7 linked regions of the Macaca mulatta genome follow. The protein of the gene in region 4 interacts with the protein of the main gene of each other region in a biochemical or structural test. Links are inferred from orthologs where the notes say so. Each region holds a gene or a part of one and is shown on either strand. Other genes may lie near its edges.

Region 1 (4,566 bases), on a different chromosome or scaffold from region 4:
GGAGGAAGAGATTATGTTTTTGCTACCGGACTTTTTCCTTGCTTAATCCTATTTATACCTCTGTTTCACTAGCATTGTAGATAAAATCATTAAAACAAGAAAGCCAGATTTCCTTAGAATGGGCTAGTGCATTTAAAATTAGACTGACGTTGCACAATCCTATGACTATACTAAAACAAAACAAAACCAAAAAAACCCCACTGAATTGCTTAAATATACAAATATGTACAAATATTACAAAAATTGTATGGTATATGAATTACATCTCAACAAGGATGCTTAAAAAAAAAAACCAGAGTGTATGACTTAAACAACATATTTCCATTGTTTTTAAGTGGCTTCCAATGGGCTCCTTGTACATCAGGTGCCTGGGGTGACCTACTTGCCCATTCATTTCTTATTCAGTCCACATTAACGGAGTCCACCCTTGGGCCAGGCACAGGGATAGCAGGGGTAGGCACCCAGCTCCCTGAGGATGAAAGGCAGGTACAGAGGAATGAATGCTTGTACCTGAAGAAGCACTGATTTTTTTGGGTTGAGGCTTCCAGTGACTATGTTGCAAACTCGAGTACTAAAACAGTTGATGTGATTTCACTATTTAGAAAATGTAGTGTTTTTGTTTCTTTTACTAAGTTACACTGACTCACAGACCTGGTCTCAAAGCTTCAATTACAGTAACCGTTTACCCTTTCAAGTGAGTTTTCGCACACTAACAGATAAGTGAAACAGAATTACAAAATAAAGTTAATGCTGAAAACAATGGACCTTTATTAACATCAGCGCCGGCTCACCGTATCTATTTTAACTCCCATCTATCCTGGCGGCTTTAAGCCCGCACTGGCGCTCCGCTCGGTCAAGCCGGGGTAACGCGGGAGGAGGAGGTGGGTTCGCACATCCTCTCTCCACTTCTTTCGGCCTTCGTCCTTTCGCAAGTCCAGGCGAGCTGGAAGCGCCTTTCCCGAGCACGGGCCGGGAAAAGGAGCCGAGCGGGGCGGAAGGACTTTCTGGGGCCAAGGGCGGCCGCGTTCTCCGCAGAGACCACACTTCGGCCTCGGAATGGACCCAGCGTTTGTGGTTCGCGGCGTAGAACACGGGGCACGCTCCGGGCCCCTGCCGGGCTGAGCGCGGGCGAAGGGCGGACCGGACCAGGGCGAGCGGGTCACGTGCGACCGGGAGAGGCGCGGAGGGCTGGGAGTGTGCAGGAATGTAGCAACTTGCAGCGAAAAGTTTCCCTGCGCTGCCGGCCGGGCCGCGGTGCGGGCGGGCGCGCAGAGGAAGGAAGAGCCGAGAGGAGGCGGGGCCGCGGCGGCGCGGGCGGGCGCTTCTCACAACTTTAGTTTTGGCGTCTGAGGCGAGTTTCTGTCTCAGTCGGGCGCAGCCGCCGCCAGGGAAAAGAAAGGGAGGAAGGAAGGAACAAGAAAAGGAAATAAAAGAGAAAGGGGGAGGAGGGGAAAGGCAACGAGCTGTCCGGCCTCCGTCAAGGGAGTTGGAGGGAAAAAGTTCTCAGGCGCCGCAGGTCCGAGTCCCTCGCAGCCCCTCCCGAGGCGCAGCCGCCAGACCAGTGGAGCCGGGGCGCAGGGCGGGGGCGGAGGCGCCGGGGCGGGGGATGCGGGGCCGCGGCGCAGCCCCCCGGCCCTGAGAGCGAGGAGAGCGTCGCTCCCGCCGCCCAGCACCGCCCGGCCCGCAGCCGTCGCCGCTTCTCCACCTCGGCCTGTGGAGCCGGGGCGTCCGGGCGGAGCCCTCGCCCGCCTGGTTTAGGGGGTGCGCGTCGGGGGAGGCAGAAGCCATGGATCCCGGGCAGCAGCCGCCGCCTCAACCGGCCCCCCAGGGCCAAGGGCAGCCGCCTGCGCAGCCCCCCCAGGGGCAGGGCCCGCCGTCCGGACCCGGGCAGCCAGCACCCGCGGCGACCCAGGCGGCGCCGCAGGCACCCCCCGCCGGGCATCAGATCGTGCACGTCCGCGGGGACTCGGAGACCGACCTGGAGGCGCTCTTCAACGCCGTCATGAACCCCAAGACGGCTAACGTGCCCCAGACCGTGCCTATGAGGCTCCGGAAGCTGCCCGACTCCTTCTTCAAGCCGCCGGAGCCCAAATCCCACTCCCGACAGGTAACCTTGTCGCCCCTCTCCCCGCTTCCCCGTCGGGCGGGCCTCAGACCGGGGGGGCGCTCGGGAGCCGCGGCCGCCAGCTCTGGCCAGGGGAGGGGGTTGCGGGAGCTCTAGCTGGGGTGGGGGTCCCGCGGCGAAGTGGAGGAACTGGAGTCGTCCGCTCGGCCGCGGTGACCAGCTCCCCACTCCTCCCAGAGTCCGGGGCTGAGATTTGTTTTTCCTTTCGGAGTTTCTTTCTGCGGTTGCGGCCCCGGGGGGCGTGCTTTCCCTCCTTCCTTTCTTTCTTCCCGGGGTTCCCGGGAGGTTGGCGGGAGTGGAGGAGGGGTGGGGAGGAAGGAAGGGGGTGGGGGAGAGCCGAGCCTGGGCCGCGGTGGGCTTGCACAATGCGCGCGCCTCCGCGCGCTCCGCACCTTCGCTCCCGCCGGGGCCGGGCCGGGAAAGGGGGAGGGGGGCCTCTGGCATTTGTGTGTGGGTGAGTTGCCAGCGGCGGCCGAGTTTGTGAAGTTGAGCCCTGGGCCCCTTTCCTTTGCGGCCTCTCGGTCCACTTCAGTCTCCTGGGGGAGTCAAATAATTGTTCTGTTGTTTTCCAGTGTTGATTAGAGGTGGGGGTAGAACCGGTCCATTTAGTTTTTTGCTCTTTCTTTCCCTCCCCCCTACCCATTTCCCCTCCCCCTCCGCCTCCCCCTCCCGTAAGCATTTATTTTCCTCGCGGCTTAGGCGATTTCTGAATACAGGTTTCGGGCTTCCCCTGCCCAGACTTTCCTGGAAGTTGTTTATGGAGTTCTTTCACCCCTGCGCTTCCCTTGTGTCTTGGAACTTGGGTCGGCTCGCTCTTATCAAACTTAGTAGGTTGCGTGTTGGTTTCCCGATCGTAGGCTATTATTTACAGTCGGCTGAAAAGCTTTTGAATTAGCCACATCTGTACGTTGCGCAGGAACTGAGTTGCGCTTTACAGTACCGAGGTTTTAACACAAGCCTTTGATAATACACTGCGGGTTGACTCATAGGCCAAGTCCTGCCTAGTTCAACTGTGATTAAAAGTTAATGTTTGGGAAGCGATGACTAATTCTAGGATCGCCATTGCTTTTTAATTCTTATTGCGGATATGAACATGGCTGCTTTTCCACATACACAACGTTCGATTATTTTGCCAGCTTGATTCAGCATAGAAGTGAAACTATTTATAATGAGAGTGTTAACATTCCGATAGGTCCCAGTGGTTTTGTTTAGTGTAGGGTTCTCTCTTTTTCCTTCTTTTCTTTTTTCTTCTTTTTTTTTTTTTAAAGAACTTGCTTCAGGCTAAACTTCAGCATAGGAACTTTGCCCAAAAGTTAATAGGTTTTCCAAATACTGCAATGTAGTTAGCCTACTCGGGCTGTAACTTGAGTGGAAAGAAGAGTTACCGCCCCCACTCCCATCCTCTGTCCTATTTGCAGGCCTGTTGTATATTCTTCTGTCAGAGACCACAGGGTTTTGGAACTCAGAAAAACTCACTTAACCTGATGACAAAAACCCGGGTTAAGGAGGAGGAAGGAAGGAAAAACAATTTAGCTGCTTGCCTAAACAGTTCAATTTGTCAGAGATAGACTTAGGTATGCTTTTTTTCTTACCCCTGGAAGTTGGTTTATGGACTCATTGTAAGTAAATGTGTGTTGGCATGCACCCTGCAGACTACACGGTATTTTTTCAAAGTATACTACACATAGATTGGATCCCCCATTTTGTGACAAAGAGTCACAACTGGAAAGTGTACTTTTTCTTCTAGTAGGTAATTTTTACAAGAATTTATATCCAGCAGTTCTAAAATTCATAAACTATTACAGTTTTGTTTTTAATAAGTTTTTAACTAAGTGTTGCTCATCTGTAAATTGGACTTTTATTTCTGCTAGTGATTTTCTAAATCATACTTATTCTGATGGGACACTCAGAAAGGTCTATCACTTTAAGGCATTAATGACTCTACTGAGTCCTTCCGGTTTCCTTACCTTTGTGAATCTAGGAAATTCTAACTTTTTGATAATCAAACTCTTAATTCTAATTAGACACATTTTAAAAACTATGCAAGATTGTGAATAGTAGAATGTAGGTTGTGAATACTATTGTTCACAACACAAACTGGTGACTATAAGTTGTTTTATATACATCCATTTTTCTGTCTTGAAAACTATGTTACAAACGAGAAAACAGGCATATGGAAGTTAACATACTTGTTCAGTGTCACACTAGCCAGCTTAGACTGGAACTCAGATCTTTGGGGTCTGAATGCAGAATTTTTTCTGCTTGTATAGAGTTGTGAATGTCTGTGAGTTCTTAAGTTATAATTGGACTGATAACCTCATTATCTTCTACATACAAATATATAGTTGAGTTTTTTTCATCTTGTTCATTGTAGATGGCTTTTAAGAACATTTGGGCAGTTCAAATTTGTTGCTTTCATTAAAAATTGTGTAATTTGTTAT
Region 2 (3,873 bases), on a different chromosome or scaffold from region 4:
GGCATTTGTATTTGGAATTACAGGCAGGGAGCATCATATACCTTAGTGTTTAGGGCCTCTAAGATCAACCAGCCCTGAGAAAATCAGCCATGGCGAGGACCTTGGACCCCAGGCCCCCGGAGATAGGCCCCCTGGTGGGAGTCCTGGGGCGGGGCAGAGGCCTAGGGACAAGAATCAGAAAAGACCCAAGTTTGACAGGGCTGCTCAGGGTCATGCTGTCCATCCCTCTGCCACAGTGGCATGGACAAAACGCATATGTTGGTTACAGAAGTGCACCCTTCTCTCTTGCAAGCACTGGCAAGGTCTTAACTATCAGTCTCCCACTCCCATGGCAGCCCCTTTGCACAAGGAGGCTCTTAATCTCTGTTCTTTGAAGCCCTGAGGGCTGGTGTATAGGAGTTCAAAGCATTGGCTTTGGAACCGGCCTGTCTGGGTTTGAATGCTGGCACTGCAGCTGACTCACTGAGGGACTCAGGCAATGCCTTACCCTTCCTGAGCCTCAGGTTCCTTGTCTGTGAGATGATAAAGATAGCCCCTATTTCATAGGGCTGTGGTGAGAAATCAATCAGACGAGGCATGTGAACGCCATTATAGCACAGCACCCGGCATCCAGCAGGACTCACTCGCTGACAGCTGTCACCGCCATCATTGTCATTAGCGTGGGCCAGGGAGGGCTGTGTAAAAGCAGCTGGTGGAGGAGGAAGAGATGCCGTGTGAGCGTCTCGGTTCACATGCATGAAGTATGATCTGGGCCTGGAGTGTGCAGTGCACACGTGTGTCCTTACTGCATGTGTTGTCACATGTGTGCAATGCCATGCTCCTAAGCCTTTGATTGCAGACGTGTGGGAAGTGGGCCCCGTCCCCACCCCCAGTGCCACCGTGCTCTGCTTCTCTTCCCTTGCTCTGCTCTAAAACGAGAAGTGCAAGTGAGTTCCCCCAAGGGGTCGGCCGCGCCTCTTCCTGTCCCCGCCCTGCCGGCCGCCCCAGGCCAGTGGAGTGGCAGCCCCAGAACTGGGACCACTAGGGGTGGTGAAGCGGCCTGGCACTGGGAGCTGCATTTGAGGCTTAGTCCCTGAGTTCTCCGCCTGCCCAGACTAGCTGCACCTCCTCATTCCCTGCGCCCCCTTCCTCTCCGGAAGCCCCCAGGATGGTGAGGTAAGGGCCTGCCACCCACGGTAGACAGGAGGCAAGGGTGCCTGGTGCCCACGGGACCCCTCCTCACTGCCCTGCCTGGGCCGCCCAGGTGGTTTCACCGAGACCTCAGTGGGCTGGATGCAGAGACCCTGCTCAAGGGCCGAGGTGTCCATGGCAGCTTCCTGGCTCGGCCCAGTCGCAAGAACCAGGGTGACTTCTCACTCTCTGTCAGGTAGGTGCCCCCACCCCCGGCGTTTTGGCCACTGTCTTGTGCCATCCAGGCCCTGAACCACTCACTCCTGGTTCTCCGTGGCAGTGCCGACTCCCCGACCCCCACGTCCCGTCTGTGCCCTCGCGCCCCACCCCCGCCCTCCCCACCCCTGTCTGTGCCCACCCATGCCCATGTGTGCCCCCACCCAGGACCTCAGCCGATCCCTGCCCTCCTGCTTTACTCCTGCACCGACTGGCCTCACCGCCTGGTGCCCTGCAGGGTGGGGGATCAGGTGACCCATATTCGGATCCAGAACTCAGGGGATTTCTATGACCTGTATGGAGGGGAGAAGTTCGCGACGCTGACAGAGCTGGTGGAGTACTACACTCAGCAGCAGGGCGTCCTGCAAGACCGCGACGGCACCATCATCCACCTCAAGTACCCGCTGAACTGCTCCGATCCCACCAGTGAGAGGTGAGGCCTCTGTACCCCCGCCACTCGCAAGCAGGGGTGAGTCGGCTCCCGCCCTGAGCGGCCAGGGAGACAGGGAGCCTGGCACCCGGCACTGCCTGCCCTCCATCCCCTCCCCTCCCCGCACCGGCTGGGGCTCTCAGTGTCCCTCCTTCATGCTGTCCTGTGGCCTGGTGTCTCAGAGCCTAACCTACCACCCTTTCCACCTAACCCCGAGGAAGCCAAAGAAAGCTGCCTTGCCCTATACCAGGGGCCCTGGCCGCTGCAGCCCAGGTCCCACTAGACACAGGGAGGCCACTGCTGGTGGCCAGCATATCGTGCCGGCCAGCTCTGTTGTTAGAAAGCTCTTCTTCCTCTGGAAGCCAGCCTGCCCTCCTCCGTCTGCCTCTCACCCCAGTGCATGTCAGGACAGTGAGGAGCTGACACTGCGGATGAGGATGGGGATGAACGGTTGCCAGGACGCTTGACACCTTGTCCCAGCCGCCCAGTGGGGATGGGTCTGTCCTGTGGGGTCAAATACAGAGATCACTGAAAGCAGGATGTGAAGTGTTCACCTGTGTAAAGGGTCTCACACTGTCTCAGGCACAGAATAATACTCCAGGCATTTCCTTCCTGTGCCCTCCTCGACTCCTCCTGTGGTCTTCCAAAGGCATGGATGGGGGGCTGGGGAGCTTTGAACACTCCTCAGGACACCATAGCTCCTTCCAGCAGCCACATCTCAATGCCAGATCCTCTTAAAGGGCAGCGGAATAACGCTAGGGGGTTTTCACACGGACCCCTGGGCCAAGCCGACTTGCCCTTGCCCTGCATTCGTGGATCGATTGTTGAAATGATTGGGAAACTTGCTTCTGCCAGCTTGCAGCCTTTCTTAGATTCGGGCCTCCAAACTGCCTCAATATTTTTGGTCAGGTCACTGATTGAAACTTAGAGCTGGATTCGGTCGCGGTACAGCCCTGTGGCCCACCTGGGAGGCCTCCTTTCCTGGATCTGCCTCCTTCAAGGCCTTCCTCATCTGAGCCTCACATGGCTGGCTCTATGTCTGCCCCCTGCCCTTCCTCTTCCCCACTGCAACACTCAGGGGGCTTCTGCCAGCGAGACCCTCTAAAGCTCATGTCCTCTGTTTCTCCTTGCCTCAAGCTAGGAGGAGGAGGACGGGCTGACCAGTGCCTAGAGTTGGAAGAGAGGAGCAGGGCCCCAGGAGGCCCCTGCAGAGGAGGCTGAGGCCTGGGTTCAAAGAGAAGAGAGAGAAGGAAGGGAGGGCAGTGCTGGGGCAGGAGGTTAAGACCGGGGAAGCCACACAGAAGGCCCTTTTGGGTGACCCATCCCAGGAGCCAGTGTCACCCCCGAACCTGGGAGTGTGTGAGAGACTTTCTCCCAGGTTCTGCTGTGTCCCCTGCCTTGTCTGTGGCACCTCCTTCTCTGCGGGAATTTGCATCTGTCCCTCGGTGGCTCTGCGCTTCCTGTGGTCAGCCTGACATTTGCATGGAGACTTCCTCATCCTGGGGCCCAAGGGAAGGGGCTCAGCCCCCTCCCTGCTGCCTGGGGTCCTAGCCTGTCCCCAGGTGGTGGGCTGAAGTGGCCTAATGGGGTATGGAGGCTCTGGGGGGTCTCTCAGCTGGAGTCACCTCTGGGCAGGGGTGAGATGGGTTGGGACAGACTGGTCCTCCCCTCTTCCCCCCATCCCTGCGGTTGGAAAATTTGCCCGCCCTCCCCTTGTCCCTGGGCTGAGGAAACCTCACAACCTCACTTCTCACTCTCTCCCCAGAAGGAGTTTTGTGTTTTTTCCATCACGTGGTTTCCTGTGGGGCAGGGCATTGTGGGGCTACAGTTTCCTCCTGGGAAAGGGGTGTGCTTTGGGGAAAGGGCTTAGTTCTGCTTTCTGCCCCGACAGCCCCTTTGAATCCCTTTGAACCCTTTTGAACCCTGGGCTCCCCTTCAGTGACATCATCCAGGGCACCCCAGAGCCCCCTACACCACTCTTTCCCCAGTGGGGTTGTCCTCCCCGCCTCCCTGGGGGAGCGCACCCCATTGGCCTTCCTTGTGACTTGTGTCTCTCT
Region 3 (3,591 bases), on a different chromosome or scaffold from region 4:
TGAATCAGAGAGGTGAGGCATGGTGGGGAGCACTGGGTGGGTCTGGCTGTTTGAGGTGAGTAGGACCTGGGGTCATTTGTACCCACTCTAAGTAGATCTAAGTGGGGGTTCCTGCCGAGGAAGATGAGGGCCCCTGTCTGTGCCTCCTCCCAGTGGGCTCAACTCACTGACAGCCTCTGCTGTGCCCTCAGCCTGCCACATTCTGGAGTGTCCCGAAGGGCTTGCCCAGGATGTCATCAGCACCATTGGCCAGGCCTTTGAGTTGCGCTTCAAACAATACCTCAGGAACCCACCCAAACTGGTCACCCCTCATGACAGGTGAGCAAGTGGGGAGAGTGTGGAGCAGCTTTTGAGACCAAGATTGGGAAAGGAGGGCTGTTCTTCCCACACTTGAGCTGAGAGGTTCAGGGAGGGAATAACCTGTGTGCCTCTGCTTCCCACTTCCTGCTATTCTTCTGTTTCCTGTGGCCCAGGAGGAAAGGCTTTTGAGGCCCTGCTTGCCGCAGGGCCAGCTTTTCTTGTTTGCTCATGGTGGAGCTGTAGTCCAGGGCCTCCAAGTTACATCTCTCTCTGGCTAGGTGGGATTTTCTATTCCCATTCCTCTTTCTTGCTCATTTCTCTGCTTGGCATTCTGTGTTTTCCTGCCTCTAGAAGCCATCAAGACTTTGGGTTTGGGAGGATATCTCTTTTCCCTGAGATTACAATCTTTCCCACCTCAGGCCTTGAGGGATAAGCAGTGGAGCCAGTAGGGATTGGAGGTAAAATCTGGAGCTGGAGCGCCTCCCTGCTGACGCTGACACACACAGACAGACAGACAGACACACACACACACACACACACACACACACACCCCACCCCCCCCCCCCATAGTGCTTCTGGAGCTGGAGCGCCTCCCACAGAGATCAAGAGCAAAAGCATTACTTACTTATTTTGAGACAGAGCCTTGCTCTGTAGCCCAGGCTGGAGTTCAGTGGTGCAATCACAGCTCAATGTAGCCTTCATACCCTGGGCTTGAGTGATCCTCCCACCTTAGCCTCCTGAGTAGATGGGACCACAGGTGCATGCCACCACACGTGGCTGAGTAGTAGTATTTTTATTTTGGTAGAGATAAGGTCTTGCTATGTTGCCCTGGCTGGTCTTGAACTCCTAGGCTCAAACAGCCCTCCCTCCTTGGCCTCTAAAAGTGTTGGGATTATAGGCGTGAGCCATTGCACCTGGCCAAGGGGGACGAGCTTTAAAGTCAAACCTGAATTTAAATCTGAGCTTAGCCGCCTTTTAGTTGTGAGACCTTGGGCAAATCTTTTCACCTCTGACCCTCATTTTCCTCATATGTAAAATTGGGGAAGGAAACAATACCTACCTTATGGGGTTGCCAGGAGAATGAAATGATTATGTATATAAAACACTCAGCCTCAGGCCTAATCCACAGTAAATACCCAATAGATGGCTGCTGTTCTATTCCCTCCTCCCCTCCTCCTGCCCACCACACATTTACAGCTACACCTTCACTGTCCTGTCCCTCAGGATGGCTGGCTTTGATGGCTCAGCGTGGGATGAGGAGGAGGAAGAGCCACCTGACCATCAGTACTATAATGACTTCCCGGGGAAGGAACCCCCCCTGGGGGGGGTGGTAGACATGAGGCTTCGGGAAGGAGCTGCTCCAGGGGCTGCTCGATCCACTGCACCCAGTGCCCAGACCCCTAGCCACTTGGGAGCTACACTGGTAAGTTGCTTGGATGGAGGTGGGCTGGGCCTAGGGTGGGAGTGGTTGTTTAGGGCTTCTGGTCTCACCTTATTTTTATCCCTGCAGCCTGTAGGACAGCCTGTTGGGGGAGATCCAGAAGTCCGAAAACAGATGCCACCTCCACCACCCTGTCCAGGTATGAAGGGAGCTGAGATGGACAGAGCCAGGGAGTGCTGGAGGCAGGGCTGGGGATCACTGTAGAACCTCTCTTTCCTCAGCAGGCAGAGAGCTCTTTGACGATCCCTCCTATGTCAACGTCCAGAACCTAGACAAGGTCCGGCAAGCAGTGGGTGGTGCTGGGCTCCCCAATCCTGCTGTCAATGGCAGTGCACCCCGTGACCTGTTTGATATGAGTGAGTGCTTGTCTTTCCTCTCTGCATCTCCACCTTTCTACTTGGTTCTGGCCCTTCTCCTGCCTATCTGCTCTTTCCTTCCTGACTTCCCTTCCCTGAAGTCTGGGTCTTGGGTGTGTGTTGTGCCTGCTACTTTCCCTCACCCTCTGTCTACACTTCCAGAGCCCTTTGAAGATGCTCTTCGGGTGCCTCCACCTCCCCAGTCAGTGTCCATGGCTGAGCAGCTCCGAGGGGAGCCCTGGTTCCATGGGAAGCTGAGTCGGCGGGAGGCTGAGGCACTGCTGCAGCTCAACGGGGACTTCCTGGTGCGGGAGAGCACGACCACACCTGGCCAGTATGTGCTCACTGGCTTGCAGAGTGGGCAGCCCAAGCATCTGCTACTGGTGGACCCTGAGGGTGTGGTGAGTGTGGCAGAGGTGTGGGTGAGGGGTGGCAGAAAGGAAGGTACAGTACCCTACAGTGTATCCCTGTTCCTTCCCTCATTGCTTTCTAGACATTCCCGCTAGGCAGCTCTCTGTGGGCCTCTCTTGCTCTTTAGGGTGTCTGGCATCTTCCTCCAGGGGCTCATCCCTTAGCCTGAACTGTGTTCTTTATAGTCCTGGCACTATAGGGCTGGGCGTGGTGGCCCACACCTGTAATCCCAGCACTTTGGGAAGCTGAGGCAGGTGAATCACCTGAGGTCAGGAGTTTGAGACCAGCCTGACCAATATGGTGAAACCCCATCTCTGCTAAAAATATAAAAATAAGCTGGGTGTGGTGGTGGGCACCTGTAGTCCCAACTACTCAGGAGGTTGAGGCAGGAGAATTGCTTGAACCCAGGAGGCAGAGGTTGCAATGAGCTGAGATCGCACCACTGCACTCCAGCCTGGGTGACAGAGTGAGATTGTCTAAAAAAACAAAACAAAACAAATACAGTCCTGGCCCGTCCTCAAATCCCCAAGCCTTATCAGAGCTAGAAGGCAGTCATCTCATCTGTGCCCATTTTTTTTTTTTTTTTTTGAGACGGAGTCTCGCTCTGTCGCCCAGGCTGGAGTGCAGTGGCCGGATCTCAGCTCACTGCAAGCTCCGCCTCCCGGGTTCACGCCATTCTCCTGCCTCAGCCTCCCGAGTAGCTGGGACTACAGGCGCCCACAACCACGCCCGGCTAATTTTTTTTTTTTTTTTTTTTTTTTTTTTTTTTTTTTGAGACGGAGTCTCGCTCTGTCGCCCGGGCTGGAGTGCAGTGGCGCGATCTCGGCTCACTGCAAGCTCCGCCTCCCGGGTTGACGCCATTCTCCTGCCTCAGCCTCCCGAGTAGCTGGGACTACAGGCGCCCGCCGCCTCGCCCGGCTAATTTTTTGCATTTTTAGTAGAGACAGGGTTTCACCGTGGTCTCGATCTCCTGACCTTGTGATCCGCCCGCCTCAGCCTCCCAAAGTGCTGGGATTACAGGCGTGAGCCACCGCGCCCGGCCATCTGTGCCCATTTTTACAAATAAGGAAACCACCCCGAAGA
Region 4 (4,078 bases):
GAAATTCTTAAGGGATGGAGCTATAGATAAGAGAGTGGGAAATGGAGATCCAGGTCTCAAATGAAAGGCAGGGTGGTTTGATTTTTAAGCTCCCCTGATACTTTTTATTTATATATTTGCTGCTTCTAGAAAAACCAAAAAAGGAAAGTGATTCATACATAGAATGCCTGTACAAATAGTAACTAATAACTTACTACCCCCAGGAGATTCTGGTCCTTGCCAGGGTGCGGTTTCAGAGCTGTAAAAGGCAAGGGATATGAACATTGATATGACCCAGTCCCAGAATATTTTAGATTCAGAAAAGGTCAGAGATTTTCATAACTAGCAATGACCTCCGGATTAGGGACCATGAATGTGCAGAGTGAGGACAAGGAAAGGGCCTAAAGCTGGGTCTACTGTAGAAGAAGCAGAATCATTTAAGGTTAATTATGTTCTGATGTGGCCTCCTTAAATACTTTCAGGTTGAGACAATTTCTAGCCCTTTAAGATTAAATCAGTGGCTTTGGACTAGAATCTGCTTAATAAGAATGAACTCCAAAGGTGAAAAAAACATAAAATCTAAAAATCAAAGGGTATGGCTTTATAAATGTGAAATTTTAGTTTGGCTCAATGTCGGTCAGTTTGGAAATGTGGGAATAACCGGAGAGATGGCATAACTGGGGGCGGGAGGCGGGGCGGTGATTATATCCCTACCACCACCTAATCCTCAGGGGCTACTAGTTACTTACTGTGCACACTTTTAAAGTACTTTCTAATTGTGGACCATGAGTGGCAGAGTGCTGCGGGCGGAGGCTTTTTGCTGAAAGCAACGTTGACTTTTCTTTTATTTCTAGGGAAAGTCCTGTCTGTAGATAAGCACCGTGGGACAATGGAGAAAATGCTGACTTGTTTTTTTAAAAAATCTTTTCTGTAAGCGCCCCTCCGATGGTCTGTCCACTCTGCGGGCCAGCTGTCCCAGGCCTCTGCCAGGGAGGGAAGAGGAGTGCTTCAGTGCATGGCTTCGGTGAGCCCTTTAAATCCAGCTTCCCCTGCCCCCACCAAGCTGCTCCCTCTCCCTGACAGGTGTTTTCCCAACTCCGGAGGCCTAGGATTTTGGGGAGTGGCTGAGCCAATGAGATTTCCCTTTGGGGCGGGGGGCGGGGGAGAAGGGCGTGGCTAGTTGGGTCAGAGCATGGGCGGGGTTTGCGCGGCTGAGCAGAGCCTGCCTGGTTGCGTGGAGGGTTGTTTTATTCCCACCGCCCCCCCCACCTTTTTTTTTTCTTTTTTTTTTTTTTTTCTGGAGTCTTATTAATTTCTCTGTGGGCTGCAGCTGGAGACCGCGGAGCGTTGGAAATGACGCTCGGAGCTTTAATTACCGCAGCCGCCGGACAAGTGTGAGGAAAGCTGACAGGAAAAAGAAGGACGGGATCCGGGGAGAAGCGAGAAGCTCCCCCCGCCCCGCTCCCCTCCCCATTTGGACTGGAGGTGCAAGGAAACTGAAGAAGGAGCAGAACACAGCCCGGCTGCGGGGAGAGGCCGGAAACCTACTGCCTCTTTGCAATCAACTTTTTTTGGAAACCTTTCGCCCCCCTTCCTTTTTTATTGTTGACCAACCAGTGAGAGAGAGAGAAAGTGAGGAGGCAGCGAGCAAGCGAAGGCTCACGCGGGGAAATAACTGCACAGTTCGGCCCGGACCGCCACGCGCACACACCGAGCACACTCCAACACACGCACACTCGCCCCCTCTTCGGGCCCCGGCCCTGGACCCGCGGGCGCGGACTAGGTCGCCCGCCCTGGGAGTCGCTACACCGCGCGCGCCGCGCCCGCCCCCCTCGCGCCCCCACGCGCGCCCGGCTGGGGGATCTCCTCCGCGTGCCCGAAAGGGGGATATGCCATTTGGACATGTAATTGTCAGCACGGGATCTGAGACTTCCAAAAAATGAAGCCGGCGACAGGACTTTGGGTCTGGGTGAGCCTTCTCGTGGCGGCGGGGACCGTCCAGCCCAGCGATTCTCAGTCAGGTGGGTTCCTTCTGGCGCTCCGGTCGCCTAACCTGCCGCCGCCGGCGGGGCTGCCTTGAGTGGCTCCCCCGCCCTCTTCACCCATCCCGGGAGGCGTGGAGGGACCGCTCGACCGGGACTTCTTCCCTGGGCTCTCGGTCGCCCCTCTTTCCATTTGAAACTTACCCTGTATGTGTGCCTGTGCTTTATCGTGAAGAAATCACTCTGAGCCCCTCTTTTTTCTCTCCTTAACCCCCTGTTTTTCTTTCCCGAGCGTTTTGTGTGGGAGCCTAAGCGGGATCCCTTCTGGTGGCGCCTGTTGTTCGGGACATGGGAGACCCAAATCCCCAGTCAGAGGAGACTCTCCTGTCCCTGTCTGGTCCCTCGAGGGAGGAACCCTCACCGCCGGGGCCGCGGAGGGCCGGGGTCCTGGGGAGGTGCTGGCTGGGCCTCTCCCGCGCCAAGCCTGAAGGGCGGTGGAGAGTGGCGCTCAGAGACCCGGGCTTTGCACCTGTGTGTGCTGCCGGCGGCCGCTGCGCCCCCAGTCGCCCAAGCCTTGTGGGGTCAGACGCGACTCGTACCCAGCCCGGGCAGCAAGAGTGCAGCGGGCGGGCGCGCCTCGGTCCGGGGTCTGGAGCTCTGGGCCTCTTCGGCCTGCTTCCCGGAGCCCTCGCCCCATTGACTTGAGGGGCGCTTGCTCGCCTGCATGACCTCTTAAAAAAAAAAAAAAAAGGCTTGGCACACTCGAGCCAGAAGCCGGGCCTTCCCGTCGGTTGCCGTGTTTGGCTCCTGGAAGAGTTCTTCCTGTAGTTCAACTTGCTATTGGCCGGAGTCCTTCAAACTTGTCTGTTTACTGCCTGGCCGGGCTGCCGAGCCTGCGGGTCACTGGATCCACCCGAGGCGCAAGCGGCGGCGGCGGGTGCGCGGCCACTGCTTGCTGGAGAGCTCGAGCCCCAGGTACCTGGGCAGGCAAAGGGCTAATTGACCCCGAGAGGCAGCGCGGCGGGGTTGGAGCGCCAAGGCTTGCAGGACTAATGACAGCACCTGCAGTGCAAGGAAGCTCAAAGTTTCTGACACTTGAGTTTCCTGGGGATGAAAGTGGGACGGGAGAGGTCTGAGGAGGACCGGTGTCTGATGCGGCCAAGGGGTGCCTTTTGGAGAGCCAGGGAGATTTCTGAAACCATTCGGGGATGGTGACTGGAGCGTGGGAAGTAGCTTGAGGTGATAAAGCCCCCGGGAGTGGCGATAGGGAGCGCTTTAGGCCCCCGGAGGGTGTCCTTCTGACCTCACCAAGGAAACAGCAAGCTGTAGTTTTCCCGCTCCGCCCCCGCCGCCGCCGCCTCCTTTGCCTAGTAAACAACAAGTTACAATCATCGAGGCTTTCAAAATGACCTTCGAATGGCACATGTGCGGCGTTTTGTGCTGGCTGTTTGCACCCTCCCAATTACTCCGAAATTCTTCACGCATACCAGGTCCCGCGCTCCAGCCACCCCCGGAATCACACCAACACGGACTTGACATTCCAAGCGGCCTCTTAGATACATCTCTTTTTATCTCCCTCCCCACTTCGAGTCCCTTCATATTTTCCCTCAATGGGTTGATTATACACATTGACCCATTCAAAGGCAGTGGCGACCGACATGCAGGCTTAGCCGAGAGGAATTTCTACGAGGCGACCTACTGGGGGCTGGCTGGTTCAGCCTCTGCCGCTGAGGGACCCCGCTCCGAGTCCGCAGCAATTTGGTATTAACTGTGCGGCTCCGGGTTGAGCTATGCCGAAAAGCCCTTTTCAGAATTTCTGCAAGGAATGTAATCCAAATTAGTTCTGCAGCTGTCCTCTTCCTCGTCTCAGGCGACACCAGCTCGCGCCCTCGCTCATCTCTTCTCGTTTCGTTGGGCGAATTGTCAGACCCACAAGTGAGCCCATTTAGAGCGCGAGGATTAGCGTGCCATTGTTCCGTGTGTGACTCTGTACTTGAAATTCTGGGGGCACAAAGGCGAGTCTCACTTGTTCAAAACACAAAGTGATCCAGATGAAAGGGCCGTACAAAGAAAAACTCTCGGGTGCATCCCTGGTATAATTGCAACACGCATACTAA
Region 5 (3,635 bases), on a different chromosome or scaffold from region 4:
AGGTGTTAGATTAACCCTGATAGCAAGCCAGAACCCATTTTCTAAGCTATCCCTAAAACTGTTGCTTTTTATCAAGAGAAAAAAAAATTCAAATAAAGTAAATGAGAGCTCCTTTTAGTAAGAGCAAGCTGTCTTCTGATTAATAATATAGTTTTTTTTTAATCACAGTATTACTTTCTTCCTAATATTTAACATTACTTAATGCGGTTTCTTGCTGTATTTAATAGTAGCATGCTGTTGGATCTACTATTATCTCAGAGCCCAATGAGGCAAACCTTTGGCTGGCAGAGTAGACACAACTCATTTCATATTCTGAAAGCAAAGAAAACTTCATACACAAGTGAGGCGTATCTGGATGGATGTGCCCAAGACATACTGATCGGGTGCTACTACAAGCAAACAGAGGGACAGTTGCAAGTCTTGCAAATCATACATCCAGTCAACATCATAATGCAATGCACAAGAAGCCAGCAAAAACTGAATCTATGAGAGGTTTTGCTGAAATACTGTGGAAAAGCAATCACTGTAACTGTACAAAACTTGCTCTCGACATAACATAACATAAAGGCACCATTGATATCTTTCTCGTTTTGAAATACTGTAAAAAATTGCTACATATGGCACATAACACATTTTTTACATACATATATTTAATTTATAAAAGTTTTTTTTTCCTGTTTTCTATTTGCAGAACTGCTAAAATAAAATAAATTGTTTAATTTAAGGTGGAATACTTTATTATATAAAATAAAGTTTTACAGGTGAATCTATGTGTTTATTTAGGTTTTATACAGCAATAGGGTCTTGGTTAGCAATTACACTAGACAGCCTGGCCTGGATTTCTTCCTGTGTCGAGAAGCGGCCTGCTGGGTTAGTCCTGCTGTCAGCCAGGCGGAAGGCAGGTGTTGCCTCAAGACTGGCTGCCAGGGGGTTCTGTATGCCCAGGAAAGGTGTATCTTCACCTACTCTTTCATCTTCTGTTTCGCTCTCTGAGTTACTGCTCTGGGAGCTTGTGTTGCCGTCCACTTCCAATCTGTTAGCAATGTGGCCATTGGGCTTGGTTCTTTTGGCCCGCCGGCTATTGGCGAGTTTCTTAACAGGCTCTTGGGCTGGCTCGTACTCCTGGGTCGTTTCATACTCCTCATCCTCCACTATCCTCAAGGGGCTAGGGGGGAGGCTGTTACTGTCATGCGCGGGGTTGTGATGGAAGGAGCTGAACTGCTGAGGGTGATGGTCAAACTTCTTCTCCCGCAGCCTTGGTGGTGTCACGAGAAGTAGAGGTCTCTCTTCTTCCACGAAGGGGCTGACCGCCATGGAAGGCATGGACACCGTCATGCTGGACACGGGTGGAGACATTTCCGAAGGGGGTGATTTGGGGGAGCTTGGCGTGTGGAAATCTACAGGTGACATACGAGCCGGGGTGGTCATGGCTGACACATACCTGTGTGAGCACAGAATACCCTGCATAAGTGTGGTGCAATAAGAGGCACATAGCAGGGAAGGTAAGGGGACAGAGTTCACAATAGTATATCATCAGAGAACAGAGAATTTCTATTCATTGTAGACTGCTCAATTATTTACGCTAGGACATTCCACACCCTTGGAATCGAAAATTAGGTAGCCAAGAGTTTCCTCACAGGAGTGCATGCAAAGATCAGCTAAATTGCCTAGCTCATCAAAGCTTTTGGGATTTTCAATCTCATCACAATTATAAATAAAGGCATATGAGCCAAGATAAGAAGGCATTAGGTCCTGGAAACCTCTCAGCTTATATAAGGACCAAGGCTCAGGGATTCGGAAGGGAAAGAAGTATTACTTAAATACTATACCTTCCTAAAGGCCAAGGGGTCTTAGAGAATGAAGCCCAAATGGGGAATGGAAGAAGATCTAAGATGAGTTGCTGATAGCTGGATCTGCATGCATTTGGATCTGTGTGCCTTGTTTCTCCTTAGCTCAGCTATAAGGTTATGTCTTATGAAAAAAAAAGAGCATAGTAACTTAGATTTATTCCTGACAACAGTGTCATACATTTGTGTGCTTTTCATATTTTCCATGAAATGCAACTAGTTAACATTCAATTTGGAACTATCCATCCCAGTGTCCAACAAACACAGTCAAAGGTAAGCCTGAGAGAGCCTAATGTTGGCTTCACAGTTACCACAATGAGGTTATGTCCAATCTTTGGTCTATCTCTCTTCCAAAACCCACAACTATATCAGTCTTTGGTTAATCTCTTTCATGATGCCTCAAGGGTTGGCTGTACCATGTTACCTTCTATCATGTTATGTCTGATAATGCTCAGTGACTCTTGCCATCAGGCCACCAAGCACACTGTTTTCACCATACCATGCTTTCTTCCCCCAATATAAGAAGTCCTGACTTTTGGCACTGAGGAAGACGTGGCTTATTCAGAGTCACATTTCTCAGCTTTTGATAAAAAATGCTACCAGCACACAAGACTAAATGACTCTTTTCTTCACACTGGCATTCACAGAGTCTAATTTGACATGACCTGAGATGACACGGAGTGCCATCATCTGAACTCTCGCTAACAGGAACAGAAAACCCATGAACCTCGCTGCTTCTCCATGATTTGCAGTGATACAGATATGAGAACTAACTGCCTCTAAACCGGGAACGTGCCTGAGAAATTGAAATACGTGGGCCTTGAGTCTTCAGACTTTTGGCTTTGGGGGTACTTAAATTAAGCTCTCTGAGAAATGCTAATTCAAATTCAACCAACATATAAAAGTGATTCATCTTTTCTCTCCATAATCTCTAGGTTAAAGGAATATTTTGTAGTCCTAGGTATTATCTGGAAGCCAAGCACAGCAGGGAGATGTCAACATTTAAAGATAAATATCACTTGTAGTGATGAGGAATGATTTCATCTCTAACTTCCTTTTCATGTTTCAAAAATAGACTGAAATAGAATGGATAGACTTCCTTAATACATAAAAAAAATTATATGAATTTAAGACTAAAGTTTTAAAACAGTTTAAACCCTGCCTTTCATAGATTAGTTGCAGGGAAACCTCTGATTTCATAAATTCCATAACGTTCTAAAATATCATTTTTGGGGAAAGGCCCTTGAAGAAGTAACCAATAGGCCTGCAAGCCCAAAATTTTTGTTTGTTTGTTTTTGTTGTTGTTTTATTTTTCTTGCTTTGTTGCCTAGGCTGAAGTACAGTAGCGCCATCTCAGCTCACTGCAGCCTCCGCCTCCTGGGTTCAAGCAATTCTCCTGCCTCAGCCTCCCGAGTAGCTGGGACTACAGCTGGGTGAGCACTGCCACGCCCAGCTAATTTTTGTATTTTTAGTAGAGACGGGGTTTCACCATGTTGGCCAGGATGGTCTTGATCTCCTGACCTCGTGATCCACCCACCTCAGCCTCCCAAAGTGCTGGGATTACAGGCGTGAACCATCACACCCAGTCTGTTAATTTTTGTTGTCAGTACTCCCCAGTCTTTATGTGGAAAGAGTCTATCAAAGTCATCTCTACCCATGGAACTACCACATAAGTATGGATTTGACATTATGTAAACCTTTTAGTAAATGGTCAAAGATTAGACTAAGATGACAATAAAATAAAAATAAATAAAATAAAATTCAGTGGACTTGCAAACAAACAGGTAA
Region 6 (3,521 bases), on a different chromosome or scaffold from region 4:
AGTAAGAACCACGAAACGCCCCTTCTTCCCTGACTCCAAGCCAGGAGTCACAAGGGCCAGCACCCCTGCCACCTTGCTCAGCCCTGAGTGGTCCTCAGTAAGTGGGGTCTGTAGGAGGCGAGCAGGGAAAGATGAGTAGTACTAAAAACTCCAGACCAGGGAGTGGGGAGAGGAGCAGATATTCCCCTGCTCTCAACTCAGCCTACTCCATGCCAGGCCCTGTGCTGGGCAGGCCTGCCTGGAAATCCAGAAATGGCCTGCCAGGTTCCTGCTCCTGAGGAGCTCCTAGTCACAGAAACAAACCAAGGAAGCTTACAGCAGCCTATGGAAAGTGCTAAACATGACACCACAGCAGGGCAGAGAGACCCAGTCTGACTGTAGGCTCTCGGAAGCAGCCAGGTTTTCCAAGCCCAGCTCCACCTGTGTGATTTGGGGCAGCCTGATCACCTCTGTACCTTGTTCCCTCAGCTGTAGAACAGGGAGAACAATAGCTACTATGCATGGTTCAAGTGAAGGCCACCTGAGATCATGTGCACAGAGCTCTTTGCCTCATCCCTGGGATAGAGCTCATGCTCACTAGGTGTAGCTATTTATCAATCATAACCACAGCAATGAGACTCCTTAATGGGTGGTAGGAAGGGGAGAGGCAGGAGAGCAGGAAGAAAGCATTCCAGGCACCGGGAACAACTTGAGCTGTTCCAACAGAGGCACTTAAGAATAGGGCTGATGAGTGAGGTGCCTGGAACAGGGTGGGCTGTAGGGAGCAGAGGAGCTGGGCCTGAACAGGCAAGCTGAGGCCAGAGAGACTGACCCTGGGTGGGTAAACAGGAAGACCTGCTTCAGCAGAGCTGTGACATTACAAGATTGCTCTGGGAACTGCATAGAGTGAAGGAGGAGAGACCCTGGGGTGGACCCAGGTGACCACATGTGAACAGCTGGGCCCAGGATGGGGTGGAGACTGTGCTTCCAGAGAAGGGAATGGGTAGGGCTTGGTGGTTAATTAGATGTGCCAGTGGGAGCGGGAAGAGGGAAGAGTCAGGCAATGCAGAAAAAATCATAATGGGGACTCCAGGCTGGTTCCAGAGAGCAGTGAGGTGCCCAGCTGTGCAGTTTGGAAGGGAAGCATGGAGGTGGGTGGCCCCCGTCCTGAGGTGACAACGGTGGGGCAGAAGGCTGATGGGCTTACAAGGGGGATGTGAGCACAAAAAGGGACAGGTACCTGGGATCCAGCCTGGAAGATATTAGCAAGGCCAGACTTCTGAAGGAGCTGGTGGTGTGGGGAGGGGTCTGTAGCCACAAGCAGAGACACCTCAGTGGGATTTTGGTACTCCCCGAAGCAGGTTTTGACTTCACTATAAGAAGGAGTATTTCCCTCACTGGAGCCATCAGGGCATGGAAGGAATTGCCCTTGTGGGGCAGTGAGTCCAGGTCACAGGGGTATCTGAATGGGGACTAGTGGCTTCTGGAATTGGGCAGTATGAGTCCTGGTTCCTGCCTAGCCTCAAGTCACATCCCACCTCTGCCACTTCTTGGCTGTGTAAATCCTGAATAAGTTACTTAAATGTTCTGAGTGTTAGTTTCCTGTGTGTAGAATGGGACTGGCGGAAGGGTCTTACAGAGCTGCCGTACTAAACCAGATGGAACATGTACTATACCCCAGTGTGAGCCTTACCCCCTTGACGGTGAGCATTCCCACAGCAAGTGACCATTCATGGAAGCTCACCCGGGTCAGGCACAAGGGCTAACACATCCCCCGATACATCATCCCAACAGAGCTATGGAATGAACACCATGGTTACGCCCGCGTAACAGATAAGGAAACCGAGGCTCGGAGAGGTTTAGGAAATTGCATAAGGCCACTGACGGTTGCCGCCGTCATTCTTGCAGGCGGGGTCTCGGGCAAGGTTAAGGCAAGTCTATGTCCGCCCCTCCCACCCTACCCCACCCCCAACTCCCCCAACCCCTCCCCCGCCCGGCCTGGCCCTGGCCCATGCCTCTGCCTCTCCCCGCAGGTACGTGTCGGCCCTGACCACGCCCGCGCGCCTCTCGCCCGTGGACTTCCACTACTCGCTGGCCACGCAGGTGCCGACTTTCGAGATCACGTCCCCCAACTCGGCGCACGCCGTGTCGCTGCCGCCGGCCGCGCCCATCAGTTACCGCCTGGCGGAGCAGCAGCCGTTACTGCGGCACCCGGCGCCCCCCGGCCCGGGACCCGGGCCCGGGCCCGGAGCAGACATGCAGCGCAGCTACGACAGCTACTACTACCCCGCGGCGGGGCCCGGACCGCGGCGCGGGACCTGCGCGCTCGGCGGCAGCCTGGGCAGCCTGCCCGCCAGCCCCTTCCGCATCCCCGAGGACGACGAGTACGAGACCACGCAGGAGTGCGCGCCCCCGCCGCCGCGGCCGCGCGCGCGCGGCGCGTCCCGCAGGACGTCGGCGGGGCCCCGGCGCTGGCGCCGCTCACGCCTCAACGGGCTGGCGGCGCAGCGCGCAAGAGCGGCGCGGGACTCGCTGTCGCTGAGCAGCGGCTCGGGGGGAGGCTCGGCCTCGGCGTCGGACGACGACGCGGACGACGCGGACGGGGCGCTGGCAGCCGAGAGCACGCCTTTCCTGGGCCTGCGCGCGGCGCACGACGCGCTGCGCTCGGACTCGCCGCCACTGTGCCCGGCGGCCGACAGTAGGACTTACTACTCCCTGGACAGCCACAGCACGCGGGCCAGCAGCAGACACAGCCGCGGGCCGCCCCCGCGGGCCAAGCAGGACTCGGCGCCACTCTAGGGCCCCGCCGCGCGCACCTCCGCCTCGCCCGCCCCACTGTCTTTAAGGAGACCAGAGACCGCCTACTGGAGAGAAAGGAGGAAAAAATAAATAAAAATATTTTTATTTTCTATAAAAGGAAAAAAGTATAACAAAATGTTTTATTTTCATTTTAGCAAAAATTGTCTTATAATACTAGCTAACGGCAAAGACGTTTTTATAGGGAAACTATTTATATGTAACATCCTGATTTACAGCTTCGGAAAAAAAAAGAAACAACAACAAAAAAAAAGAGAGATGGGCCAATTTTTTGACTCTTTAATAGAAACCTATTTTGTGGTGCCTTTTGCTGTACGCTCATCTGGGGCTCCGGGGGAGAGGTCTTGGTTGCGGGGTGCTGGGAGTGACAGCAGGGAAAGAAGAGGCTGCGGGGTTCTGGTGGGGGCGAGGGTGGGGGGCCGTGAGGGGTTGGCCCTGAGGAAGAACTGAGGATAGAAGTAGCTTTGCTCTCAGGCAAGAGCTGGAGTTCCCGACCCCTGGGAGGAGAGGGCCAGGACCCTAGGCTTGGAGCTGGAGCTGGGGTAACTTCCAGGGGGAGATAAAGACACAGCTACCGGAATGGGGAAGCCCTGGCTACTCACAGCTGTTAGAGGAGGAGGGCAGAGAAAGGTCTCCCCAAGAGCCTGGGCCCAGGGAGGTGGCAGCTCTGCCAGGGGCCCAATGTTGGCGGCTCCTGTCCCCCACAGCCTCCAGGACGCCCCTCC
Region 7 (4,599 bases), on a different chromosome or scaffold from region 4:
TGTTCTCAGGGAGGCCACTATTAGTAGTACTTCGTTATTAAGTATTATGGAACTACTTCATTCTCATTTCTAGAACAGCACAGAGCTTAGCAACTCAAAACTCACCTATTTTACCTCCCACCTAATGAATGACATCTATTATATCTTTCAGAACCTTTTTTAGGTATTGCATACCTCCTTCTTGATTAGTATACTATACATTAATATAGTGGTTCTCAAACTTAAGTGGGCAAACAATCACTTGGATGGCTTGTTAAAATGGATTGCTGCACAGTTTCTGATTCAGAAGGTCTGAGGTGGCATTACTGAATTCCTAGGATGTTGCTGGCCTTAATTCACTCGAGAACTCTAGCTCCTGTGACTGGTTCATCTTCCTTCTCCCAAGTAGCACATTGCCTAAGACATAAGCATAATGGAGGTCCCAGGACTACTCCTAATCAAGTTGGATCGTTGTCATCGACTAGGTAAATAGGCCTACGCAAATTTACAAAGAAAATGCATTGCCTGTATCTTGCCACCTCTTTCAGTGGTCTTTTCTCTTGTTCCTTGGTTTCTATCACAACCACTTGCCATCCGGAGTGTTGGCTTGATCATCCTTAGCAGAGAAAATACTGATCTCAAAGATCAATATCCAATGGTATTCAACGTGGGATTACTACTGGGAGAATTTAAAATAACAATACCGTTAATTTCAAACCATGGGAAGCTCCCTGTACATGAATGCATGTAATAGTTTGTATACATTTTAGTGTAGAAGACAAAATAACACTCTTCTCCTTAATTGTATTAAAAATGAGTTTTCAGTTTATTGCTACTTTAGAAACGATATATAATTGTAACTGGCATTCTGAGACATTCTTGACATTTGACTTGTTGAAGGTGCTTGCATTGCGGATCACACCCTGCAGTCTTTTGCACACAGAGGACAAAAGTGCATTGATTAGTGTTTTCTGTGGCACCCCCTCCTCTTCATCAGTATACAACAGACTTATAATAGCATAGGTAAGTATATGAGACAGTTGATAAAGAAAAACCTATGCAAATACTAGTAGAAATCTTACTTCATAACCACTATTTCTACCAAAATTCCCCACCCTTCTCATATGGTGCCCTTTATTTCGTTTCGGAGTTTCAGAATCTATTCTATCTGTGTGTGTGTGAGATAGTCATGGTGATTTATAGCATGCAACGAAAAAGACAACATTTAGTACTGCCCCGATCTTCAAAGCTACCTGACTCCTGCATGGTCTCTGCGCTGCTGGCTAAGGCTGTTTCTTCCACCGGTCAGGAAGTACGGAACTAGTTTCTAGGCATTTTCCTTTCCCTTTCCCCCTTCTTCCTCTCCGCCGCCTCCCGGTCCCCCTCTCGTCTCTCCGGCTTTCACAGCGCCGAGCACCCGCGTGCTCAGGTACCCTTCCCTCTTCTCCCGCCCATCAAACAAAGCCCCGGGAGACAGGCGCGCGCCGCCGGCCACGCCAACAGGAGATGCGGCCGCGCCGCCGCACGCTAGGAACCGGAGTAGGACAGCAAGCGCGACCACGCACCGCGCGTCCCCGCCGCTTCCTTCCCTCTGGACTCTTCCTTTTCCTCCAGGCCCGGCCCCCCGCCCCCCGCCCCCCGCTCCCCGCTCCCCGTTCCGGGAACGCGCCTGCGCACAAGCTGCCCTCTCCCTCCTCCGCCCTTCCTTCCCTCCGTCCCTCCTCCCCTGCCCCGCCTTCCTTTCTCTCTCTACGGTTTCAGTCACTGAGAGCTCCAGGTAGTGAGCAGTTCAGTCGATTTCCTTGTTACCCCGCCCCCCTTTCTCTTGTCCCCACCCCTCTCATCTGCCTGGTGGAGGATGAAGCGGCTGCAGTGGCCCCAGCCTCAGCAGCGGCACCGGCGGTGGCTGCGGTGTGGGTGGCCGGAACTGGGGTGGTGAAGAAGCGGTGGTGGCTGCTGAAGGAGCGATAGCCACCTAAGCCTCTTTCCCTGTGCTTCCTTTCCTCTTTAGTGCAGCCAGGAAGTTTTCGCTTCTGTACATGTGTTTGTGTGCGTGAGTGTGGGTGTGTGCCGTGAGGTTTGGGTGGCGTTTGTGCAGGCGTTGGGTTTTTTGCCCACTTCGCTTCCCGTAACCCAAGCAGCTCCGGAGCCTGGGCTGTGGCCCTAGGAGGGGGCGCGGCGGCGGGCTCTCTCCTTTTGTTGTTGTTTCCTCCGCCTGGGGAGCTGAAGGGGAGACGCGTCTGGGTGGGGCGGCTCGGAGCCCGGGCCTGGTGGCCCCCGGGGCTCCCGGGCGGGCAGGGTAGGGCAGAGTAGAGCGGGCTTCAACATGATGGCGGCCGAGGCCGGCAGTGAGGAGGGCGGCCCGGTAACAGCCGGAGCTGGAGGAGGCGGCGCGGCAGCGGGCTCCAGTGCCTATCCCGCAGTGTGTCGGGTGAAGATACCCGCGGCCCTGCCTGTGGCAGCCGCCCCCTATCCTGGGCTGGTGGAGACTGGAGTGGCTGGAACTCTGGGTGGCGGAGCCGCTTTGGGGTCAGGGTTCCTAGGAGCCGGGTCTATGACAGGGGCATTGGGGGGAGCCGGACTGACAGGGGGAGGTACTGCTGCTGGCGTGGCCGGTGCTGCTGTCGCTGGACCTAGTGGAGACATGGCTCTCACCAAGCTGCCCACTTCGTTGCCTGCTGAGACTCTTGGGCCAGGCGGCGGTTTTCCCCCTCTGCCCCCTCCCCCTTACCTGCCCCCTTTGGGGGCGGGCCTGGGGACAGTGGACGAAGGTGACTCTCTGGATGGACCAGAATACGAGGAGGAAGAGGTGGCCATACCATTGACCGCTCCTCCAACTAACCAGTAAGTTAAGACTGCTGTTCAGGAATTTGGGCAGCTGGCTCCAGAAAAGAAGTGGAAATGGGGTAAACCATACTTTGTCTTTTTCATCTGTGATTTGTTTAGGAAAAGTTTTTGAAGTTTCAGGTTTCTTTGATCACTTATCTTCCTTACAGGCATACTACCTGGCGTCTTCCTACATTTATTGCTCTTCTGGGAAGGTGTAAAGTTTTTAAGATGGAAAGTATGAGAAAATGTGTATCTGATGAGAACCGGATATGGTTCTGTCCCTTCCAAGTTGAAGTGGTGTCCCAGGATTTAGTCAAACTGCGGCTACCAAGGCAGTCATAGTGTATATTAACCTGTGTGTGTTACTTGATAAAGCTAGATGATTAGTGAGAAATTTTGAATACAAATATTTAAACGAGTATTGTATTAATAATTTGAAAAATGTATTGGTTAGAATGTATTTATTTCAGTGCACATCCCAGCTTCTGATTAGAGAAAGCATAGTGATGTTTAGAAGAGTCTGTGGGTCACTTAATGAGAACTTGGGTCAGAGAGAAAGGAAAGGAATACTGTGAATTATAGGTGTGATTAAGCGCCTTTATTTCAACAATGTATCTTCTTCCCTAGGCTTCCCACTTAGCTTTTATAGTCGAGACATTGGAAGTACAACAGTGAGACAAAACAAAATTAACAGAGCTTCCCTTAAACATTTTTTGTTGGTGGCCAGTATAGTATTCTATTTGAAAATTAAGTAGAATATACAGGACAATGACTTTTTTTTTTAATGTAAGTTAATACCTCCTCACTTGTCTTAATTGAACTTAGGTGTTTATTCATAAAGGTGGACCTTGATGAAAATGTTGCGATGGGAAGTGGTATTAGGCAAAACTTGTTATAGGTTTCTCGTATAACTCTTAATTGACCCTTAGAATTTTAACAACCTTGGTGAATATCAGGAAAGAAAGATTTGGTTCATATGTTGACAGTCATTCTGGACAATTCAGAGGTTTTTTTTTTTCCTCTCTCCATTGCCCCCAAGAGATGGAGTCTAGCTCTGTTGCCCAGGCTGCAGTGTAGTGGCATGGTCTTGGCTCACTGCAACCTCTGCCTCCCGGGTTCAAGAGATTCTCCTGCCTCAGCCTCCCTAGTAGCTGGGATTACAGGTGCATGCCACCATGCCTGGCTAATTTTTGTATTTTTCATAGAGACGAAGTTTCGCCATATGGCCAAACTGGTATGTTAACTCCTGACCTCAGGTGGTCGGCTGGCCTCAGCCTCCCGAACTGCCGGGATTACAGGTGTGAGCCACTGTGCCCGGCCTTTTTTTTTTTGGATAAGCTTCTTTGGAGCATTTAGAAAGGACTGAAACTAGGAAAAGATTCTGTTACCCTCATCTATTTTTGACTTAAGGCTGCATCTTTTGATACTTAAAGTGGAAAAGTAAAGTTAGTCATATTTATGCCAGCCATGTTATAGGGATGTAGTGTTCCACCTTTTATATTCCTCAATAAAGGGTTCAAGTCTTGCGTCAGAGTTTTGTTCAAATTTTACACGACAATTTATTTCATGTCATTGTAATGCAGAGTCCCTGGGAGTGTTCAGGGAGTGTTAAAAATTCCAATTTTGCCGGTCGCGGTGGCTCACGCCTGTAATCCCAGCACTTCGGGAGGCCTAGGCAGGTGGATCACCCGAAGTCGGGAGTTTGAGACCAGCCTGACCAAGATGGAGAAACCTTCTCTCTACTAAAAATACAAAATTAGTCTGGTGTGGTGGCAGGTGCCTGTAATCCCA

What was found.
Region 1: the proteins of ERBB4 (region 4) and YAP1 form a complex in vitro, tested with the Homo sapiens proteins (2 studies listed by BioGRID and IntAct, with this or other methods). The link is inferred for Macaca mulatta from reciprocal best matches to the Homo sapiens genes ERBB4 and YAP1.
Region 2: the proteins of ERBB4 (region 4) and PTPN6 form a complex in vitro, tested with the Homo sapiens proteins (2 studies listed by BioGRID, with this or other methods). The link is inferred for Macaca mulatta from reciprocal best matches to the Homo sapiens genes ERBB4 and PTPN6.
Region 3: the proteins of ERBB4 (region 4) and SHC1 form a complex in vitro, tested with the Homo sapiens proteins (2 studies listed by BioGRID and IntAct, with this or other methods). The link is inferred for Macaca mulatta from reciprocal best matches to the Homo sapiens genes ERBB4 and SHC1.
Region 5: the proteins of ERBB4 (region 4) and NRG1 form a complex in vitro, tested with the Homo sapiens proteins (2 studies listed by BioGRID and IntAct, with this or other methods). The link is inferred for Macaca mulatta from reciprocal best matches to the Homo sapiens genes ERBB4 and NRG1.
Region 6: the proteins of ERBB4 (region 4) and NRG2 form a complex in vitro, tested with the Homo sapiens proteins (2 studies listed by BioGRID). The link is inferred for Macaca mulatta from reciprocal best matches to the Homo sapiens genes ERBB4 and NRG2.
Region 7: the proteins of ERBB4 (region 4) and RASA1 form a complex in vitro, tested with the Homo sapiens proteins (2 studies listed by BioGRID and IntAct, with this or other methods). The link is inferred for Macaca mulatta from reciprocal best matches to the Homo sapiens genes ERBB4 and RASA1.

The regions. Positions count from the first base shown.
Region 1 is NC_133419.1:102,977,117-102,981,682, forward strand, and holds the start of YAP1 (transcriptional coactivator YAP1), read left to right. Parts: upstream 1-1,502; 5' UTR 1,503-1,559; coding exon of another isoform or gene 1,560-1,786; coding exon 1,787-2,107; intron 2,108-2,415; exon of another isoform or gene 2,416-2,579; intron 2,580-4,566. Other genes in the region: uncharacterized protein LOC144334584, read right to left, coding at 802-1,502, 1,560-1,788. UniProt on the Homo sapiens protein: Transcriptional regulator with dual roles as a coactivator and corepressor. Critical downstream regulatory target in the Hippo signaling pathway, crucial for organ size control and tumor suppression by restricting proliferation and promoting apoptosis.
Region 2 is NC_133416.1:7,923,565-7,927,437, forward strand, and holds part of PTPN6 (tyrosine-protein phosphatase non-receptor type 6), read left to right. Parts: intron 1-546; exon of another isoform or gene 547-1,147; coding exon of another isoform or gene 1,148-1,155; intron 1,156-1,243; coding exon 1,244-1,366; intron 1,367-1,624; coding exon 1,625-1,819; intron 1,820-3,873. UniProt on the Homo sapiens protein: Tyrosine phosphatase enzyme that plays important roles in controlling immune signaling pathways and fundamental physiological processes such as hematopoiesis.
Region 3 is NC_133406.1:112,035,739-112,039,329, forward strand, and holds part of SHC1 (SHC-transforming protein 1), read left to right. Parts: coding exon 1-12; intron 13-191; coding exon 192-318; intron 319-1,524; coding exon 1,525-1,723; intron 1,724-1,810; coding exon 1,811-1,880; intron 1,881-1,962; coding exon 1,963-2,097; intron 2,098-2,259; coding exon 2,260-2,498; coding exon of another isoform or gene 2,499-2,603; exon of another isoform or gene 2,604-2,636; intron 2,637-3,514; exon of another isoform or gene 3,515-3,591. UniProt on the Homo sapiens protein: Signaling adapter that couples activated growth factor receptors to signaling pathways. Participates in a signaling cascade initiated by activated KIT and KITLG/SCF.
Region 4 is NC_133417.1:117,705,181-117,709,258, reverse strand, and holds the start of ERBB4 (receptor tyrosine-protein kinase erbB-4), read left to right. Parts: upstream 1-1,278; 5' UTR 1,279-1,918; coding exon 1,919-2,000; intron 2,001-4,078. UniProt on the Homo sapiens protein: Tyrosine-protein kinase that plays an essential role as cell surface receptor for neuregulins and EGF family members and regulates development of the heart, the central nervous system and the mammary gland, gene transcription, cell proliferation, differentiation, migration and apoptosis.
Region 5 is NC_133413.1:34,586,825-34,590,459, reverse strand, and holds the end of NRG1 (pro-neuregulin-1, membrane-bound isoform), read right to left. Parts: intron 1,972-3,635; coding exon of another isoform or gene 1,851-1,971; exon of another isoform or gene 1,830-1,850; intron 1,442-1,829; coding exon 787-1,441; 3' UTR 720-786; downstream 1-719. UniProt on the Homo sapiens protein: Direct ligand for ERBB3 and ERBB4 tyrosine kinase receptors. Concomitantly recruits ERBB1 and ERBB2 coreceptors, resulting in ligand-stimulated tyrosine phosphorylation and activation of the ERBB receptors.
Region 6 is NC_133411.1:148,702,742-148,706,262, reverse strand, and holds the end of NRG2 (pro-neuregulin-2, membrane-bound isoform), read left to right. Parts: intron 1-2,012; coding exon 2,013-2,778; coding exon of another isoform or gene 2,779-2,868; 3' UTR 2,869-2,903; downstream 2,904-3,521. UniProt on the Homo sapiens protein: Direct ligand for ERBB3 and ERBB4 tyrosine kinase receptors. Concomitantly recruits ERBB1 and ERBB2 coreceptors, resulting in ligand-stimulated tyrosine phosphorylation and activation of the ERBB receptors.
Region 7 is NC_133411.1:93,645,618-93,650,216, forward strand, and holds the start of RASA1 (ras GTPase-activating protein 1), read left to right. Parts: upstream 1-1,738; 5' UTR 1,739-2,305; coding exon 2,306-2,823; exon of another isoform or gene 2,824-2,880; coding exon of another isoform or gene 2,881-2,885; intron 2,886-4,599. UniProt on the Homo sapiens protein: Inhibitory regulator of the Ras-cyclic AMP pathway. Stimulates the GTPase of normal but not oncogenic Ras p21; this stimulation may be further increased in the presence of NCK1.